Caenorhabditis elegans: one gene and its partners. The protein of the gene in region 3 interacts with the protein of the main gene of each other region in a pairwise test. Each region holds a gene or a part of one and is shown on either strand. Other genes may lie near its edges. The genes, in order: sax-3, rig-3 and cam-1.

Region 1 (4,970 bases), on a different chromosome or scaffold from region 3:
CCGCCAGCTCACAACCGGCTCCGGGAATCCACGTGGCGGACTGCATTCCAGAACGGCCATCTCTCCACCAAGAGCCTGAAAACAATTGAGTAACGCTTCTGTGAATAATTATTTTTTAATGGTCTAAAAATCGCGTTGACAAATTGTGCAGTGCGGTTTACAGTTTTTGAAAAACTGACGAATGAAGTTTTTTGTAACATTGATGGTCCAAATCTTCGGTTTTTCGGGGTTACCAAAAATTTTCAACTGACAAAATAGTGATAATTTTTTTTTTCTGTAGTTTAACACTAAAAAATGAGGTGACATATTTGAACTGACTCAGAATATGCCGTTTTATTCTCTATTTGTGCGGCACCCCAACTGTTTAACTGACAGCATATGTCTCGAATGCTTTTGAAGATATTAAGAAGTTCAAAAACAATAAATTTACAGAGAAATTTAACAAAACTGTGCTCAGTTAAAATTTTTACAAAAAATCCAATTTGACCGAGATACGAACTGTCAGGGTTGAGCCATGGAAATGCCGCAGTAATAGAGATTATAAGGTAAACTGTCAAAGTAGAAAAGTGCAGGATTAAGTGAAAAAATACGTAATATTATTCAAAGTATTAAACTTTACCTGAACTGTTCTTGGCCGAACTCGAAAGTCTTCGCGAAGCATCGCCAATTTTAACGATCCTTCGTTCGACTTCACTTCTCCGTGCTCGTTGCTGGCCACACAATAGTACGCTCCCGCATCGCTGTCTTTTCCGTTTTTTCCACTATTCACTTTCAGAAGAAACAGGGATCCCGTGTCGAGAACAATCCGGTGGCTGTTCACTTGCTCCTTATTCGTGATTACGGGCTGTCCATCCTTGTACCATGTGATTTTGGCGGTAGATGGCTTTGCACCACAGTTGAGGGTTGCTGGCGATCCCCTAGATACCACCACATCGATGGGATGTTCGATTATCACGGGAGCGAGATTTGAGGCATCTGAAATTATATTCAAGATTTGAAAAGGTTCAAAACAACATCATTCCCCTGTTAGAATTTTTTTTACTTTCCTCATCTCCCATTCATCTTATTTCCACATACATCAACACTTTGATTTTATCCATCTTGACAATGTGAATAAGAAAGGAAACTTGTCCAAGTGCATTAAATCAATCTGACCGATCCGGCACGCGCAATACTGTCACATCTGTATTATGGTGTCGAAACGAACACCTTCCCTCACCGATTTTTCAGTAGAGATGTGCGACACTATTGTCCTTGACGGACGGTAGGTAATAAAATGATTCACTAGGAATTTTATCAAAATTTATGTATGTGTGTGTGTGTGTGTGAGTGTGGTAAAAACCTAGATAGTACATTAACGGCTGGTTTATTGGGTGTCGGTGGTCTATTACATAAGATTGCCATTGACCTCCGACGGATTACCCATCTTCTCCCATCTGCTTCAAAAAATATCAAAAAGCCATTTTGAATCACTTGTTTATGGCATTCACCCTGACACTGCTGCGCACACACTTAATAAAAATTTCAGCAGGCCGACTTGTTTTCCTCCACTTCAAAATACGGACCACTGTTGTTTTCCACTAGTAAATTACCAGACCAAAGTGTGGCTAACAAGCTGCCGGATTCAACAATTTAATTAGCCTGGCTGTCCTTCTGTCTCTTCTGTCACCTCTTTAACCTTTCAACAATCTAGCGTGCCAGTGTCAAAATGTGCGCACGCGAGTAAACTATCCATGAACCAATGTATTGTACTCTGGCTACAATTTAATGGCCGTGTTAACCTTCAAAATATTATACTACGCTGCCTGCCCGCCTTTTCATCCATAGGCAAGACAAAACCAAAGAGCTGTGAAGATGTACACATATCTCATCCTGTCAACACCCAATTTCACAATTCGCCCGTCATTCTTTCGCAACACATTGGTGTTGAAAGCTTCTGCTAAAAAGCAGGCTGTCTTTCTAAAACATGAGATGCAACTGAATATTTTGGACAGCGCCAACAGCTCATTAATAACCTACTAGTCTCTGGGGAGGGATTTCAAATAGCTTCTCATCTTCTATCAACCGCATGCTAATGATTCTCAATTTTACGGATATTCGCATGCATCTTAAAACTGTGCTAAAATGTTTAAATGACCCAGGTTGGGGCAATTTATCACATTGAATAATGACTTGCACATTGCACAAATTACATTGTGGAAATGTGGAAATGTGGAACAAGACAAATATCGAGAGTCTGCGGGTGGTCGCTCCCAACTGTTTCTTATATTTTCGTTGCAAATTACACTGGCTCTGGTCGCTGTACAAAAAGACTTATTGTTTTAAGAGATTAGCATTTGAATGGTGAATACTTGAGAACACGCGCCTCAATGAGACTAACTCCTCTCATTCATTTTCTATACCATTTATTCTCCCCCCGTCCTATTCACTATTGTTTTCTCAACATTACCATCCAAAAGCGGGGCTTGGCTCGGCCAAGAGGGCAGATGGCAGTCCAAAACGATAATCGAATCTTTTTACACTATAGTCGGCAAACGAGCTCACAATCCAAGCAGCGAACCCGCTTTTGGTGTTTGACAAAATGAAGAGTCATGTCTAATAGCGCAAGAGTAGAAAAAGCAGCGAGTAAAGAGCATTTTTCCAAGATGGAGGGCATTCGTTTCCGCGCATTCAGTCAATCTTCGTTTTAATCGCTTTCTTCGACATGGGAAATACAACCCAACCTAATGGATTTTCCAAGTTTCCAAGTGAATTCAAAGAAAACCCACGAGTGGATCGAATAGCGTGTCTTGTTGGCGACGCGTTTTTTTCACCATGTAACTTGACACTTTTGGTACATTCTTAACTTAACATTTTTTTTCTAGAAAAAAAAAACCAACCTTCGCAGAAGCTTCGGATTACTGCTTGCAATACCAGGAGGATAGTGCATAACAGCGTTTTTCGATTGAACATGATCTTGTTTTATTCAATCTGTGTCCAATTTCAAAGGCTGCATCTAATTGTGGCGGTGTTCTGAATTTCCAGTTGGGAGACACCTGCAAGAAAAACACAAAAGTAATCAAAGTTATTGGCGGTTGTTTTAAGAGTGGGCGACAAAATGACGGAAAGAGAATGAGGGAATATAAAAGGAGAAACAAGACAAAATAGGTGATGGGAAAAAGATGGAAAAGGGCGAAAAAAGCGTGGCCCTGGGTGTAATCATTCATCTTTGCTAGGGTGACACTCGGGAGAATAGATTTAGAAGGAAAAAAGGAAAAGACACAACAAAGTAATTGAAAAGTTGACGAGCGTCGTCGTCGTCGTTTTCAAGACGCGAAGACGATTTGTGCGTCCGTTTTTGCGCATTTTCGGTGGTGGTGGTGGTGGAGCGATTCGGACGGAAGCCGACCCTAAATTGGACTAGAGAGCCACATTCTAGAATGAAGAACAAATTTAGTCTTCTACGCGACGGAAGATGTTGGACAAAAAAAAATAAAGAAAAAATGCACGGGAGGCAAAAGTAGCCAGCAGGAAGACAAGCAACAAAAAAAATGAGGACGCAAAGTTAGGAGGCAAACGTAGTGAGACTGGTTAAAGATGACGCGCAGAAGGACGGATGAAGGATGGATATAGAAGATGAAAGAAAATGAACAAGTCGATTTTGAAAGGATTTTCTTAAATGCGGCGAGGCGTAATCAAAATTTGGTGTAGTGAAAAGGCAACTTGAAAAAGGAAACCTACTCTGACAAAAAATATAAAAAATCTTTAGTACTAAGTTCGTGGCAGATTGGGAAGTGTGCAGGAGTTGTTTCAAACTGCACAAGACTCCCGAAAAGCTATGCAAAATTTTATTTTACGCAGGAGTTGTGCAAGATTGTAGTAAGAATCCGTTGAAGTTTCAATCTAAGTAGAACTTCATCAAGTCTATATAGGCGTTTTACTTTACTTGGGAAATTTGATTTTTGCCAGAGTATCAATAAAATAACTATAGCTACAATTTGAACATGGAAATTAAAAACTTCAAACACAGCAAAATGGCCAAAATTAGGAAAATACCTTGAAATTAAAAGAAAAACGGATTTTCAACATCACCAAATGGTTCAAAATTTTTATACATACAAAAAGCTTTCATTGTTTCTCTAACAACCAAAAAGAAACAAATCACAATTTAGTACAAATGCATTTGCAGAACATTTAAAATGAGGACCGTTGAGACGAATTGCTAGAAGGCGTAGACGCAGAATGTTAGACATCAGATTTCCTCTTCAAGGTGTGTGTGCAATGCGCGGGGAGATAAACGCGCAAAGAGGAGTGAGACAAGTATCGATTTATGTTGTGCCAGCGATTGAATAATACTGATTAGATAAACTATCTGGCAACAGGCGGGCGAATAAGAAAAATCAATACGCTTTATTCTAGACAAGAAAGTACTCGAGAACATATCAAAGCTCTCAACTCAATAAGGTCGTCAGAAAGCTCATAATTGTCAGATAAATAACCTAAATAATGCGCGTCAAGAGCACGGCGATGACGGATGTCCATGTCATGCAAGCGGCTCGATACGGAACGAAACCGCATGGAATATGAGGGGATAGCCGGGGCTATACGTCGCCCCCTTCCCTGGTTAAGTAATTATTCCAATTCGTGGCCGCCCTCCTCTCACATTCGACTACCCGTTCATTAGGTCCATTGTAGACCGAACCTATGCCCATGGACCAACGAGGCAAACGATTGGGGGACGGGAGGACGACGAAGAAGAAGGAAAACCCGGCCCTGTCATACAACATCTGTCGTGTTGTGTCTATACGTTGTCAATGAGCAATAGTTACACTTGTAGTGGAACCGATAAAATTCGCAAGAATAGGTGGGGAGATTCGAAGAGCCTGTGATTTTTGCGGGGAAGCAGACGGTGGGGAAATGTGGAAAGTAAAAAAGTGAGAACCAGTGACAGGAATTGACCATAATTTCGCAAAGGTGTCGGCGGGGCGAGA
Region 2 (7,885 bases), on a different chromosome or scaffold from region 3:
TAAAATTTTCAGGAACTTCCTGGTCCCATTTCGTCACATTTAATAACAAACCAAATCCTTCAGCTTGAGTCGTCCAAGCCAACGCAACCCTAATTCGATTCCACCTCCAATTTACCTTTTTGCCGTTTTCGATCAAATTGTGGGGGCTCTTTTTATTTGAAAGTCGTAAAATGGCGCGTCCTTGTCGAAAATTGAGATAGCTAATGGTTCCAAATAAAATCAAATGCATGAACCTAGTAGGAAAAATCGTTTTTTTTTTCATCTTCCAAAGAAAAAGTTTAAGATAAACCCACCACTCCAGCAATCCACCTACGCGTTTTTCACCGGAAACTGTCATTTGTTTTTGATGTATGACAGTGCCAGCACTGAACTAAATTCCCATTTGTTTTGTTGTGGTGTTATCTAACCACGTGGCTCTTTCTCTAAATTTTGCGTAGGCTGCAAGATCCGCAATCCCACCAAAAAATGGTTTCTAATGTACTTCATACATATCCCACATGACTCAGTGCTCCGAAACGCCCAGCAACCCCCGCGTTTGTCTTTACAAAAATGAGGCGGAAATGGGAAATTTTCCTGCTATTGCTATGGTAAAATACTTAAGCTGTATTGAGATTTGGGAAATTGAAAGATAAGATGAAAAATCCACTCTGTATAATTAAAAAGGTTTATTTTTTTTGTAATTTTTGTACCGCAAATTTTTTCATTAACTGATTTTTCTTTATTCATTCGATGGCCCAGTTTCAGATCTTCATTATCATGTAGTTTATTCATTCAAACTATTTGTGACATCATGATGGTTGTTTAAAAATAATTTCGAATGAAGAAAGCTTAAACCTATTATAATTTTCTTTTCTATAAAAAATATTGATTTTGTAAAGCGTTTGGCAGTGACAGTACCAAAAAATGTTTTAAAATGATTTAAGAAAATTTTTTATTTTATTTGTATAATACGCGTAAAATGAGTATACTCGTCATTTGTCACGAATCGAGTTCTCAGTTTGCTGTGAATATCTTGTAATAGAAATCGATCTCATAGTGTCACTTTTGAGGCATAACTTTTCAGGTTGTTACAAGTTCATTAACTTGTCAAGACTGGGTCATGTTTTAAAGTGTAACTGTTACCCATGTACCCTAAACTTTGAGACAAACTCCTCAAAACTTGTAACCAGAATCCTATGTAGATGACTCACAAAACCCTGTTTTCAATTTGAACGAATTTCGAAACTGGCCAAAATGTTCCCCTCTTGCTCACCTAATGCTTTTACCATTTAAAAAGGATGGTAACAACACTCTTTCGAAAATGTAGGCGGTCCATTTTCGGTTTCTCATAACCGTCTGGCTCTATCTCCTAGTGCGCGAGGAGAGGGCGGGCGGAGTAGGAATCGGGGGCAGCGCACTCATACACTCTGCCCTTCTCTTTTGCACACACAGAAAAAGATAGATACAGACCAACACTTATTGTTGTCCAGTAAGCTTCCAGAAAACTATTTTCAGAATTACAAACTACATTTTTCTAGAACAGTCAATTGATTTTTTACAAGATTCGAGTATTCTAACATTAGTGAAAGTATTTAGCCACTGCAATTTTCAACTGTAGGTTTCAACTTCCAAAAAAAATTCCTAGCATTTCTAATTGGATGAAAAAAGGCTATCTAGACCCTCCATTATTTACTCATAATTTCATCTCGTCCTCATTTTTAATCCCCTCATTGATCCCATCACAATCCGCCAAAATGTTTTTTAAACACTTTTTTCTTCACCAGCCGTATGTGGTCAACTGCCTAAAAATTTCACAGCTATTTGTCATTCCTTGCAGAAGAACTTCATTCTTCTTTTTCGAAAATGGGACGACTACTTGCCAAGATGCTCTTCCCTCTTGCGATGTGTCTTTTCGTTTCCGCAGTTTCCGCATCAGGTTAGTTTTGTTTTGTTTTCTACTAAATTTTTTTTTCCTGAACCCCACTTACAATAGAAAAGTTCATTCGATCCTTTGGTTCTTGCATAGCATTGAAATTAGCGCTTGGTATATCAATTGCGATAGTTCGAGCATTTCGAGTGGGTGCCCCACTTGAAAAGTTTATCTTTTTCGACGAAATCCGCGGGTGGTGGCGCGATATAAACAAGACGACCAGATGATGATGATGATACAATCTTAGGAACTTCAGAGCCCATCAGTGCTACTGAATCACACCCATACCGCGCAAATGCATTTCTTGGGCAAAAGTTTCAAAACATGTGTGCGCTGTGCTTTTTCCCTTGAGAGACACTTGCCAACTTGCTACTAATAGACCCCTTTTTGTCGTGTCGCATCCACAATGTCTGGTTTTTCGTGAAAAAGAGTTTAGAAGAAGATTTCACATGGGTAAAGGGCATATAAATACATTCTGGGATTGGAGTAAACTTGATCTGACATGAGCTGTTACGATATTAGTATCTTTCTTTTAAAGAAGACCTAATGGTGCTGGGTATTTTGAACGTATTGGCTCAAAATGTGCTTAAATGAAGAATTTCGTAATTAAACTTCTCAAAAAAATTCAATTTTCTTTAGCCGTTAAAATTTCAAAGTAGCTGAAACTCTAAAAATAATACCATCATATAATTTTTGAAAATTTCTTTAGAAATTTGAATTCGGTATTCAATGGCTTGATCACATTTTGTCTATACGTTCAAAATACCCAGAACTGTTTGTCATCATTAAAAAAAAACAAGAACACTTGAGAATAAGGGAACAAGAATCAAAGTGAGAAGTGTGAAGTGAGAACGTTTTCACGCATTTTTTTTGAATCGGAAGTCGTTTCGCTTTCTAAATACCTTCCTATAACAAAAAGATGTTCTCAGCGATTCCCTTCCTACAATATAATGTTGCCTTAGTATCGTTGCGATGCAATTCTGCTCGTTTTCAATAATTTCAATTGTTTGCCATGCTTTTTTGTTTTGTGCGATGAAGAAAAAGGAGTGTGGAATGGAGCCCTTCTCCCACCTTTCCTCTCAATGGCTTAACATTTCGGAGGCAAACAGGCGCAAAGAAATGAAACCTTAGAAATGGCCATTTGCTCATCGTTGTCTTCCTCTTTTTGTCCATTTTTCTTATTGATTGGACGTTTTTTCCCGTGCCTATTGACATTTGAAAAGAAGAGACGGAAGAGTAGGTAACACAGGCGCTCGTTATGTATGTGTGTGAGTGTGTGTGTGTGTGTTCAGATGCTTGCAAGAAGACCTCCAGCTCTCCGAGGTTCATGTATTGTATGCTGGTAGTTTTGTGTATTTTTTGCGCTGATCGATCAGTATGTTGAAATATATCTATCGAGGGTCGTTGCAATTTTCGAGGCAGGTGGCGGAAACACGGATGGGAACAACTATGTACATAGACTTCCTAAATCTGGTAGCAAGTAGTGTAAAAGGGGTCAAGAAAAGAACATTGAATAGCAGGTGCACCACTTTCCATAGTAACTTTTCAATAGGATTGACGACGCGGAAAAAATTTGAAAGTGCTGCCAAGTTTGATATTTCCACCAAAACAGAAAAACGGAGCAGTAGCCACACACTTATTTTCATTTGTAGATATAAAGTTCCGTTTCCTTTTCCAAACAACAGTACATTAATCATAATCCATATTACGCATCACATAACATCGGAATTTTACTACTTACTACTGATTTTTCTCCCGCTACACAGTTATCCAAATGTTTGTCTAACTGCCTACAACCGTTTACCAGGCTTACTCAACACTAGCTCTTCTAATAATGATAAAAGGTTTTGGAAATTTTCGCGTTTGGGAAGTCAAAAGAATTAATGGAAAATATGAGAACCGGCGAAAAAAGAACACCTACTAAATCATGCGTGACACGACAATTAGGGCGGTTTAAAGTCAAAGAGTCAAAAGAATTCTGGAGGGTCCAACAGACCGCGGACACGCTGAGAGGACACCCCCTCCTCATCCTTGTTTCCCTTGTTGTTCAAATTAGAAACCCTGAATTAAACATGAATGGTTTGGAAAGAGAAGGGTTGCTGGAATGGTTAAATTTGTTAGTAATATGGAATACGGGTCAACAAAAGAGAATACATAACTGTTTTGATAAATAACCACCAATGGAAGACGATTGAGTCTATTGTGTGAGAAGCTAGGTAATTAGAGGGCTGTGAATAAATGTGCGGTACAAATAATAAACAAAATAATATACTACTGAACGCTTCTGTATTATGTATCAGTATTTATATCCACTTGTTTTGTTTTTGAGCCCATTATTTCCATCTCTCAATTTTGCGGAGTATCGTCAGTGGATATTTAGCTTTTAGACACTTACGATTGTCAAATTTTGGTAAATTACCGAATTTTTCAAAAACGTATCAACTTCGAGAATCGCTGTAGGTTTGAGCCCCTATAATGTTCAAATAGAAAAATTAGAAGATATTTATGAATATATTAATTAAAAAACACTCCAAAAATGTATGGTTTAACAAAGTTTTCAGTCAAAGTTTTGATGATTTCAAAATTGTGGGGTTTTCAGAAAAATGAACGTGTTACAATTTTTTATTTTTTTATTTTTAAATTTATTTAAAATTTTAAATTATTTTAAATATTTAATTTTTAAATATTTAAAAAACTAAACCGTCATTAACATATGAATGTCGTAGATGACTTTTTTGACTTCACAAATTTGTATAAGGGGTAACCTCTATAATTGCCGAATGGAAATTAAAATAATTACAAAAGATTTTGAGAAATTTTGATGCTTGTTTTTCAGCAATCCAGGTTAGATTTTCAACAATATTCTTACTGGTTTCAAACAAAATTTCATAATTTCCAGGCATAGATCTGAATTTGACATATATTTGATTTTGAACTTTTGTATTAGAATTCAACAATGTGAGCATGATCAAGCAATCAAAGTTTGTCCGTTTCTCCATATTACGCACGGTATGCAATTTCATGTCTTTTTCTTCTTTTCTACCAAACAACACGATTCAACTACAGTGGCCTGAGTTTTTACATGACCATCAAACAGATCGAGTTACATTCATCGCTTGAGAAAGCTTAAGAACACAGTGAGAGAAAAGTACTTGCAGTTTTCTTTGGTTGAACGCAAAGTCCCCTGAGGCAGAGGGACTATGAGACCTTTTGGGAAGTGGAACAACAAAATTCAATTACCTGATACTCTCCAACTTTCTCGTTCTTTTCTTTTTTTTTACCAATGGAACAAACAACATGTAAGGATGTCATTTGCGATACCAAATTGGTTGCTTATAACCAACCACGTTACTATTTTTTAGGTAATTTAATCATGTTTTCTTTTTCATCCAAGAGTGAAAGGAGTAAAAAAAAAATAAGTTGATCATGCGATGTGACACCTTGAATAGTAAATGGCTCCACTATGAATACACTGAATGAATACCATATCGTGAGAAACTGCTGTGAATCGAAAAGGGCTCTTTTTGGTTTTCTTTTTCTTTGGCATCCATAATTTATCATATTCGTCATATGCTCATGGACCATGATCCCAAGACTCCCAATACCCCTCTTTTATTCCCCTTCCTCGGAATATTAGCATATTGGTACTGCTAATGAAGACAAGATGGTAAATGAAATGGGGTAAACGGGAAAAGGAGGGGGGAGGAACAGATTCGAGTGTACATCATTATTACTATTGTTTCTTGTTGGTACACTAACTGCTGGTTCTTATGTGTCCCGTTATGCAAATTTTAGCAGTGTCCAATGACACCTTTTCGGGATGAAGAAAAGCAAATGAGCAACACATTGATGGCGGTAAAAGAGGGATACTTGAAAAGTGTTCGGTGAACAGTAAATAAGAAACCCAAGTTGTGAAATTTGTCATTTGAACAGTTGCGTAAGATAATACAATTTGTTTTGTGGCATTTACACATTTAGATGATGTTTTAACGGATGCTCGAGGAGGCAGGGAAATTTTTTCAAAATGATGGAAGAGTTATGGCCAGTGGGGAAACCCCAGTTTTATGATTCTAAAATGACATAGTAAAAAATTTTAAAAAACTCCCTTACAGGTGTAGATTACTTGGAATACGAGGATTTTTTGAGAAAAAGAAGTCTATTCGTTAGAACGCGAGATAATCGTTTAATTCCATTGTTCGTTGAGACGATTCTTTTTGGTCAGTGCAAATATTTTGCTGTGCTCATTAATGCTTTAAGAAGTTGTGTTTTTATAAATGTTCTTCACTTTGTCCGACGTCTTAAATTTGCGCGATAACTATGTGTCTAACTTGTTTTCTTTTCTATTATTGCCACCCAAATATGAGTCACTTTGTGCAAATAAATGACTAAAAGGCTCGAATAAGATAGGTAATTTCGAATGAATGTAATCGAGTCGAAACAGATGACTCGTGAAAATTTTCACATCGACGAAACTCGATATGTCGGTCCGCCATACTTCCTTAATTATATATTTACCGGAAATGGGTATCCAAAACGCTTCCAGTCTTTCCGACTAACAATGAAAGGGGAAATAAATTGTTTTAATTTTGTTTAAATTTCAGATAGTCCATCTTCCAATGAGGCAAATCCTATCGTCATTTCATCAGAAGCCATGGATTACGACACAAACACAATCACAGTCAGAGAAGGTTTTTATTATATTTAAAAATTTTAACTTTTTTGATATTCTGAAAATTATTATTTCAGGAAAGAAGTTAATGGTTAGTTGTGTATTTGAAAGTGACGAACAAATCCACAAAAGTGATCTTCTTTGGAAACAAGCTAATGGAAACAATATCGACGGAGAATCCAATCCAAGGTTAGAAAACTTTTCAATTTTTTTTTCGACAAATAAAAAATGTGATGAAAGCCGAAAAAAGCAGTGTTATATTTCATTTCTTGAATAGGATATTTCCCTTCCTTTTCTGCCCATTTTTCCTCGAAATTCGATATTCAAAACCAGTTACATAAAAAAAAATCTACACGCAGAAAACGACAAAAAATCCAAAAACAAAGATTTTTTCAGTCTTTTCTCTGTGATTTTGAACGAAAAGGGGAGCAAACATCGCAAAACATCGCTACATTTCTCATCGGTTCACACGAGAGACACCGGACTCTACACGTGCACAGGAAGAACTGCTGGGGGAGAAAATTTCGAGAAGACCATCAAATTGGTCGTACTCCGTAAGAAGTTTTACTTGAACTGAAAATAATTCAAAACAATATTTAAAAATTTACAGCTGCCATTGAATGGAATGATAAAGATACTGTGAAGGGAGCACTTCTTGGAGAGCCCATCACAATTGACTGTGGAGTTAAGGGGCCATCCGGTAAAGAACCAATGATTCAGATGACAAATGGAAATGGTGAGCCACTCGATGAAGAAATCTGGACAATTGCTGGAAATGAAGCCACCATTGATAGCTTGAAAAAAGAGCATGCCGAGTTAACAGTGTCTTGTATTACTATTGAGATGCACCAGGAAACAAGCAAGGAAGAATTCCCAGTTGTTGACAGAAAAGATGTTAACATCGAAGTTTACAGTAAGACATTTGTTTAGTATTTGCACTATTCTTAAAAATGTATTTTGCAGCCCTTCCCGAGTTTGAGACGGAAGAATCTGTGCAGTACACAGTTATTGATAACCACGTCCGTGATGCAATTATCTACTGTAATGTGACACATTCCTTCCCACCAGTTCGTCACTACACTTTTTATCACGGAGACGAGGAGATCAAGATGAGCGATAAATTCAACATTTTTGTGAATGTCGGAGTTTCTCAAGGAGCACATCTCAAAATTCACAATGTCAATGAGAACGATTTGGGCACTTACAAATGCGAAGCTAACAATATCAAAGCAAAATCCTACCATACAATTCATCTTAGAGAAGCCAGTGAGTTTTTTTTTGAATGTTAATGTTCACTACATTCCCTG
Region 3 (4,780 bases):
TTCCGTACCAACTCAACTCAATTTCCAATTTTCTTCTCCTACGGCTACTTGTTGTCCATTTTGATTATAATCGTCTATTTCTCTCATAGCTCCTTGTGCTCAACGCCTAATCCTCTTCTCTGCTTCCAACAGCAGCATAAACAAATTTTCACACTCAAGGACCCGCTTCTTGAAATTTCTCTCTTCTACATTCGGTGAACACAATTCTGAAGCAGCACGAGCAGGAGCATGCACTTACTTTCAAATTCTATAATAATCATTTTGCGTTTCTCTTTTTATCCGATTTACGCTCTCAGGGATGAATGCTCCAGTGTATCTAGGATTTTGAGAAACATATACAAAATTAGCTCATGCTGAAGGTTTCGAAATATCTACTGCAGATCACACATGTTTTAGGAACATACATTTTGGCCAATTTGTTTATATCTACCGTATCATTTCTAATAAAATTATTGTAATCATTTACACGTTCTGAAAGTTTTTTAATCGACCTGAAAATATTTGTTCACATAGTCGAAAGGTTTGGAAACCTGCCCATGAATTTACGAACGTTCATTGGACTTTCTGGACATGTGACAATTTTTCAATAATTTAATTAGAAGATCCATGATCTCATATTTTGTGCAATATATAAATGTTTTCTCTGAAATTTAGCTGTTCTTCTTCGAATGGGACTCTCCCAGAATTCCCGTTTGAAATTCCATTCAGAACATCAACAGGAAGCATATCATTTGGTTTTCTCACGTTATTTCCGGAGTTTGTTTTGGACCTTGATTTTCAAGTATAAATTGGGATTTGGTTTCTAGTATTAAAATGACAAAGTGAAATATTAGAAAAAATATTTGGAAATAAAATCATGCAATTAAACATTTTAAGAACACCATTTTAAAAATTTTACAGTTGAGTTTTTTGATGGGTGAAACACCTAAATTTTTGACAAACTTTCGTCATAATTCCACTTTCTTACTTTTAAAATAAGTGACAATCTAGTGTATATCCAGCTGTGTCAGGAAACTCAATTATTTTCCAAATTGCTTTATAAGCCTTATTAGACAGGTGTGAAAACCCGTGTATTACTAAAATTGCATGAAAGAATGCTCATCTTTTCTTCTCTAAATCTCTTTTTCATTCAATTTTCTTCCATTTTTCATCACCAACTCTTTCTTCTAACTCATTGCTTCACAACTCTTCGTGCTCCTGCTCATTTCTCAGTCATCCATCACATTTATTTTACATGCAAAATGAGTGGAAAAGCGCATCAAAATGTGTACTACTAATATGAAAATGACTTTTTTCCCGTCTCTTTTTGTACTTCATCCTCAATTCATTTCGATTTGAGAAAAAAAGTTTCATTGGTGGTCCTGAAAGTTGTCATCTAATGAAAAAGACCTGCGTCTCTTCTGGAAATGAATTCAGAATTAGAAGAGAGAAAAGTTGTCGAATTCATGACTTAAGAAAACTGAAATTCTATACTTTTTCTTAAATTTCCTCTCAAATTCTCATGATAAATTCTGCGATTTCTGAAATCTCACCTGCCATTTCTCAACTTTTTTTTTAGCCGGCTTAAGCTTTATACTTCAATTCAACTTTTGCTTCACTGAACTTTATGAATTTCTGTTTTTTTAAAGTAATATTTGAATTACCTTTTTTTATGTTACTGGTGCTGAAATTCTCGATTCGAATAAATTTTTGAACTCTGTATATTACCATCTCGTTCCATTTTTTAATTTTTATACCCTAAATCTTGAATATTCCAGAAATGTCTCCCCGACCAGAAGACGACGATCTCGTGATAGAACCAGCCGACGATGAGGGTCTTCACTACGGAAATGCATCGTGAGTATTACTGTCTTTTGATACGATAATTATAGTAATTAGATACGGGTGGTAGAAACTGTAGCTGCCTATTTTGGCAACAAACGGTTCGGTTATTTACTATCAGATTAAATGAATATGGGTCAAATACAAGTAGTTTATTAGATTGCCTCAAAAACACAAAATGCTTAAATCTAGTGAGTCTATAGATGTACAGTTTGCTGACTACAAAAATTTTTAACGACCTCTAAAATGCGCGTCCACCTCTTGGCGTATAAAATATAAACTTTAAAAGCATTTAATCAGTTCATATAGATTTTCATATATGTTCATATAGATCAGTTCATATAGATTTTCAAAAAATGTATTTAAAATAAACCCAATTACTTCTTGATTTCTGAATAAAACCATATGGTTACCGCCATCCGTTCCCACATTCATCAAGCTCGCCCGATGAGTATTATGCAGTATGTGATCTTCACCGTTAGAATCTTGATTATAAAAATAATGTTCAATGGGAAATTTTTCTGCAATTCTCCCTCCACCCAACTTATTATCTTCATTCAAAATCTTGAAAACTTCCGTCGTGTCGACTTCCCATTTTTCATCTTTTTGACAAGTTTGCAACTTGCGATTAGTTTTAGCGCAATTTTTATTAGATTTTGAGTTAAATTAATTGCTAAAGGGGTCAACTTCGAAAGTGATTTATTTCAAATTTTTGTGAATTTTAAGTAGCTAATACTTTGTCAATATCAAAAATCAAATCGTTATGAAAATAATTTTTGGCTCGATTTTTGCCTAAGTTATTTTAACTTGTTAAAAAAATTGACAAACTTTATATAGTGCTTTTAGGCAAAACGTGGGCAGAAGCTGAAACTCGCTCAATTTTTTCCATTTTTCGAGCAATACTTGGATATGGTCTCAGTCAAGTGTTACAAATTTTTTCGCCAGTTTTGTATTTTTAAGAGAAAAGTTGTGTAATATTTTGGTGCCAAATGCCGATATCTCACATTTTTGATGAATTTTGGTAATTAGATATAACATCACGATCCAAAATTTTCCGTTAGCACCCATTCTTTTGGAAATTTCAATTATTATTTTTTCATCCATATTTTGTACCACTATAGAGCATCAAAATGTCATTCCGGATGCGGAAATTGGGTTAACTGACACAAGCTCATTTCCCTCAAACAAACGGAGTGACATGCCCATATAATGGATGACCATTCTCCCACCTCTTCTGTTCTACATATTGCATAATCCACTTGACACCTATATACATCCACCAACACCCGGACGTCTTCCTCCTCTTTCACCCATACAACGGACCACCCCCACCCTAACCGTGACCATCTCCTCTCTCTCTCTCTTTCCCTAATATCTGACAAAACGGACTGACCTCTGCCTTCTTTCCTACTGTCAGTCATCCCCTGTGTCTCTGCGTCTCATTGAATCAGTATACTATTTCTCGGGGATTCTGTCGAATGGGCCCTCCCCGCCAAACGCGCTCCGCACATTCATCCGACGGATGGACTACTCGATTTATAATTTATTGGCCTTGTAATGATGACACATCGTAAAAAAGAAGTTAATTTATCACTATTTATTAGTTTCTTTTTCTAATTAATTTATAACTTTCGAATCATTTTTGAACGGTTTTTAGTGATTAGAAAACAGTTTGATTCCAATATTAAGGTCTTATTACTAATCTATAATAGGCATTTTAATACTAGCTTGATTTAGTCTGCTTAATCCTAAATATCGTTCAGTCAATCCGCACTTCTCCTCCCCGGAAATGAAATATTCCTAAACTTGAATTAGCTGAATTTATCTTGAATTTTTATTTTGGTTTCTAGGTTTAGTGTACTAAAATCCTGGAGATAGTTTTAAACAATCTTACGGTTTTTAACAAACCTCCATATTTTGCCATTTGGAGAACTATTCTTTAAGTGCGCAAGATTTGTTTCCACAACTTTTAACTAAATTCTAAATTATTTTTATATCTTCAGCCTCACATGTAGAAAAATTTGTCAAAACTTACTTTTTTATATTCGTTATCAAATCTCTTATTTTTCTTCTTCTCTTATCACCGATTCCATTAATTTGACCTGACAGCCGAGCATGCGTTCCACATCTTTTACGTCATCTATCTATTACCATTCCATCTTCTTCCCGTATTCCAAAACTCCCTTCACACCTTTTGTCTATACTTGTTTCCCAGGCTCTGTCAGTATATTTGCAATTGGATCAATATCCTATTACTCCTGAATAGGCTAATGGAACTCGCATTTCGATGCGAATAATAGTCATTTAGGTGGGCTATTATTACTGACTAGTGAGTCTCGTGTTCAGGTTTAGATGAAATTTTGTTTTGAGGCAAGGTTATACCTGATAGAGCATTTTTGATTTCGAAATTATTTTGCTCAGACTGAACTATTTCCATTTCTTTCAATGGGTGGCAAACTGCAGTTAGTCAATTCACAGTCAACTTTCTTCAGGCACAGAAAAATTGAGTGATTTTTTAAATTTTCATATTAACAATTCCACCAATTGCAAGTACACCCAACAACCGAAAGTGATTGTAAGATCAAAACATTGGGTTGAAAAGTGTTTGTATCTATCTCGGTCTCTTCTTCTGTAGTAAATTGTGCCTAACACACTGTTTCAATGTTTGTGATCCACTTTCCAATTCCGTTCTCATCATCATGTTTATCCTTGTCGGTAGTCGGCTTTTACTGGCTCTCTGTAGAGACTGTGATGATCTTTTATAGGAATTTGTGATTTGTTTGGACAACTTGGAAGTCAATTTTTTAAACTTATACTCCCTAGAAAGATTATTTTCAGAAACTTCTTAGTGTAATTTTTCTTATGTTTCTATTATAGTTGCCCAAAAAATTTCAACACCAAAAAACTACATTGCTTGATTCCAAATTTGAAAATTCGAAATACAAGTCACATACACACT

What was found.
Region 1: the proteins of cam-1 (region 3) and sax-3 interact in a two-hybrid assay, tested with the Caenorhabditis elegans proteins (one study listed by BioGRID).
Region 2: the proteins of cam-1 (region 3) and rig-3 interact in a protein complementation assay, tested with the Caenorhabditis elegans proteins (one study listed by BioGRID).

Annotation. Positions count from the first base shown.
Region 1 is NC_003284.9:3,462,891-3,467,860, forward strand, and holds the start of sax-3 (Protein sax-3), read right to left. Parts: upstream 3,038-4,970; 5' UTR 2,996-3,037; coding exon of another isoform or gene 2,966-2,995; 5' UTR 2,953-2,965; coding exon 2,880-2,952; intron 976-2,879; coding exon 620-975; intron 76-619; coding exon 1-75. UniProt on the Caenorhabditis elegans protein: Required to confine migrating sex myoblasts to the ventral muscle quadrants during their migration through the body and for multiple aspects of sensory, motor, and interneuron axon guidance.
Region 2 is NC_003284.9:6,851,802-6,859,686, forward strand, and holds the start of rig-3 (Neuronal immunoglobulin domain-containing protein rig-3), read left to right. Parts: upstream 1-1,816; 5' UTR 1,817-1,842; coding exon 1,843-1,915; intron 1,916-3,625; exon of another isoform or gene 3,626-4,061; intron 4,062-6,510; coding exon 6,511-6,597; intron 6,598-6,655; coding exon 6,656-6,767; intron 6,768-6,974; coding exon 6,975-7,132; intron 7,133-7,188; coding exon 7,189-7,491; intron 7,492-7,541; coding exon 7,542-7,844; intron 7,845-7,885. UniProt on the Caenorhabditis elegans protein: Cell surface protein which plays a role in the plasticity of cholinergic synapses at neuromuscular junctions and in the polarity of the mechanosensory neuron ALM, possibly by antagonizing Wnt signaling.
Region 3 is NC_003280.10:9,307,281-9,312,060, reverse strand, and holds the start of cam-1 (Tyrosine-protein kinase receptor cam-1), read left to right. Parts: upstream 1-1,756; 5' UTR 1,757-1,759; coding exon 1,760-1,836; intron 1,837-4,780.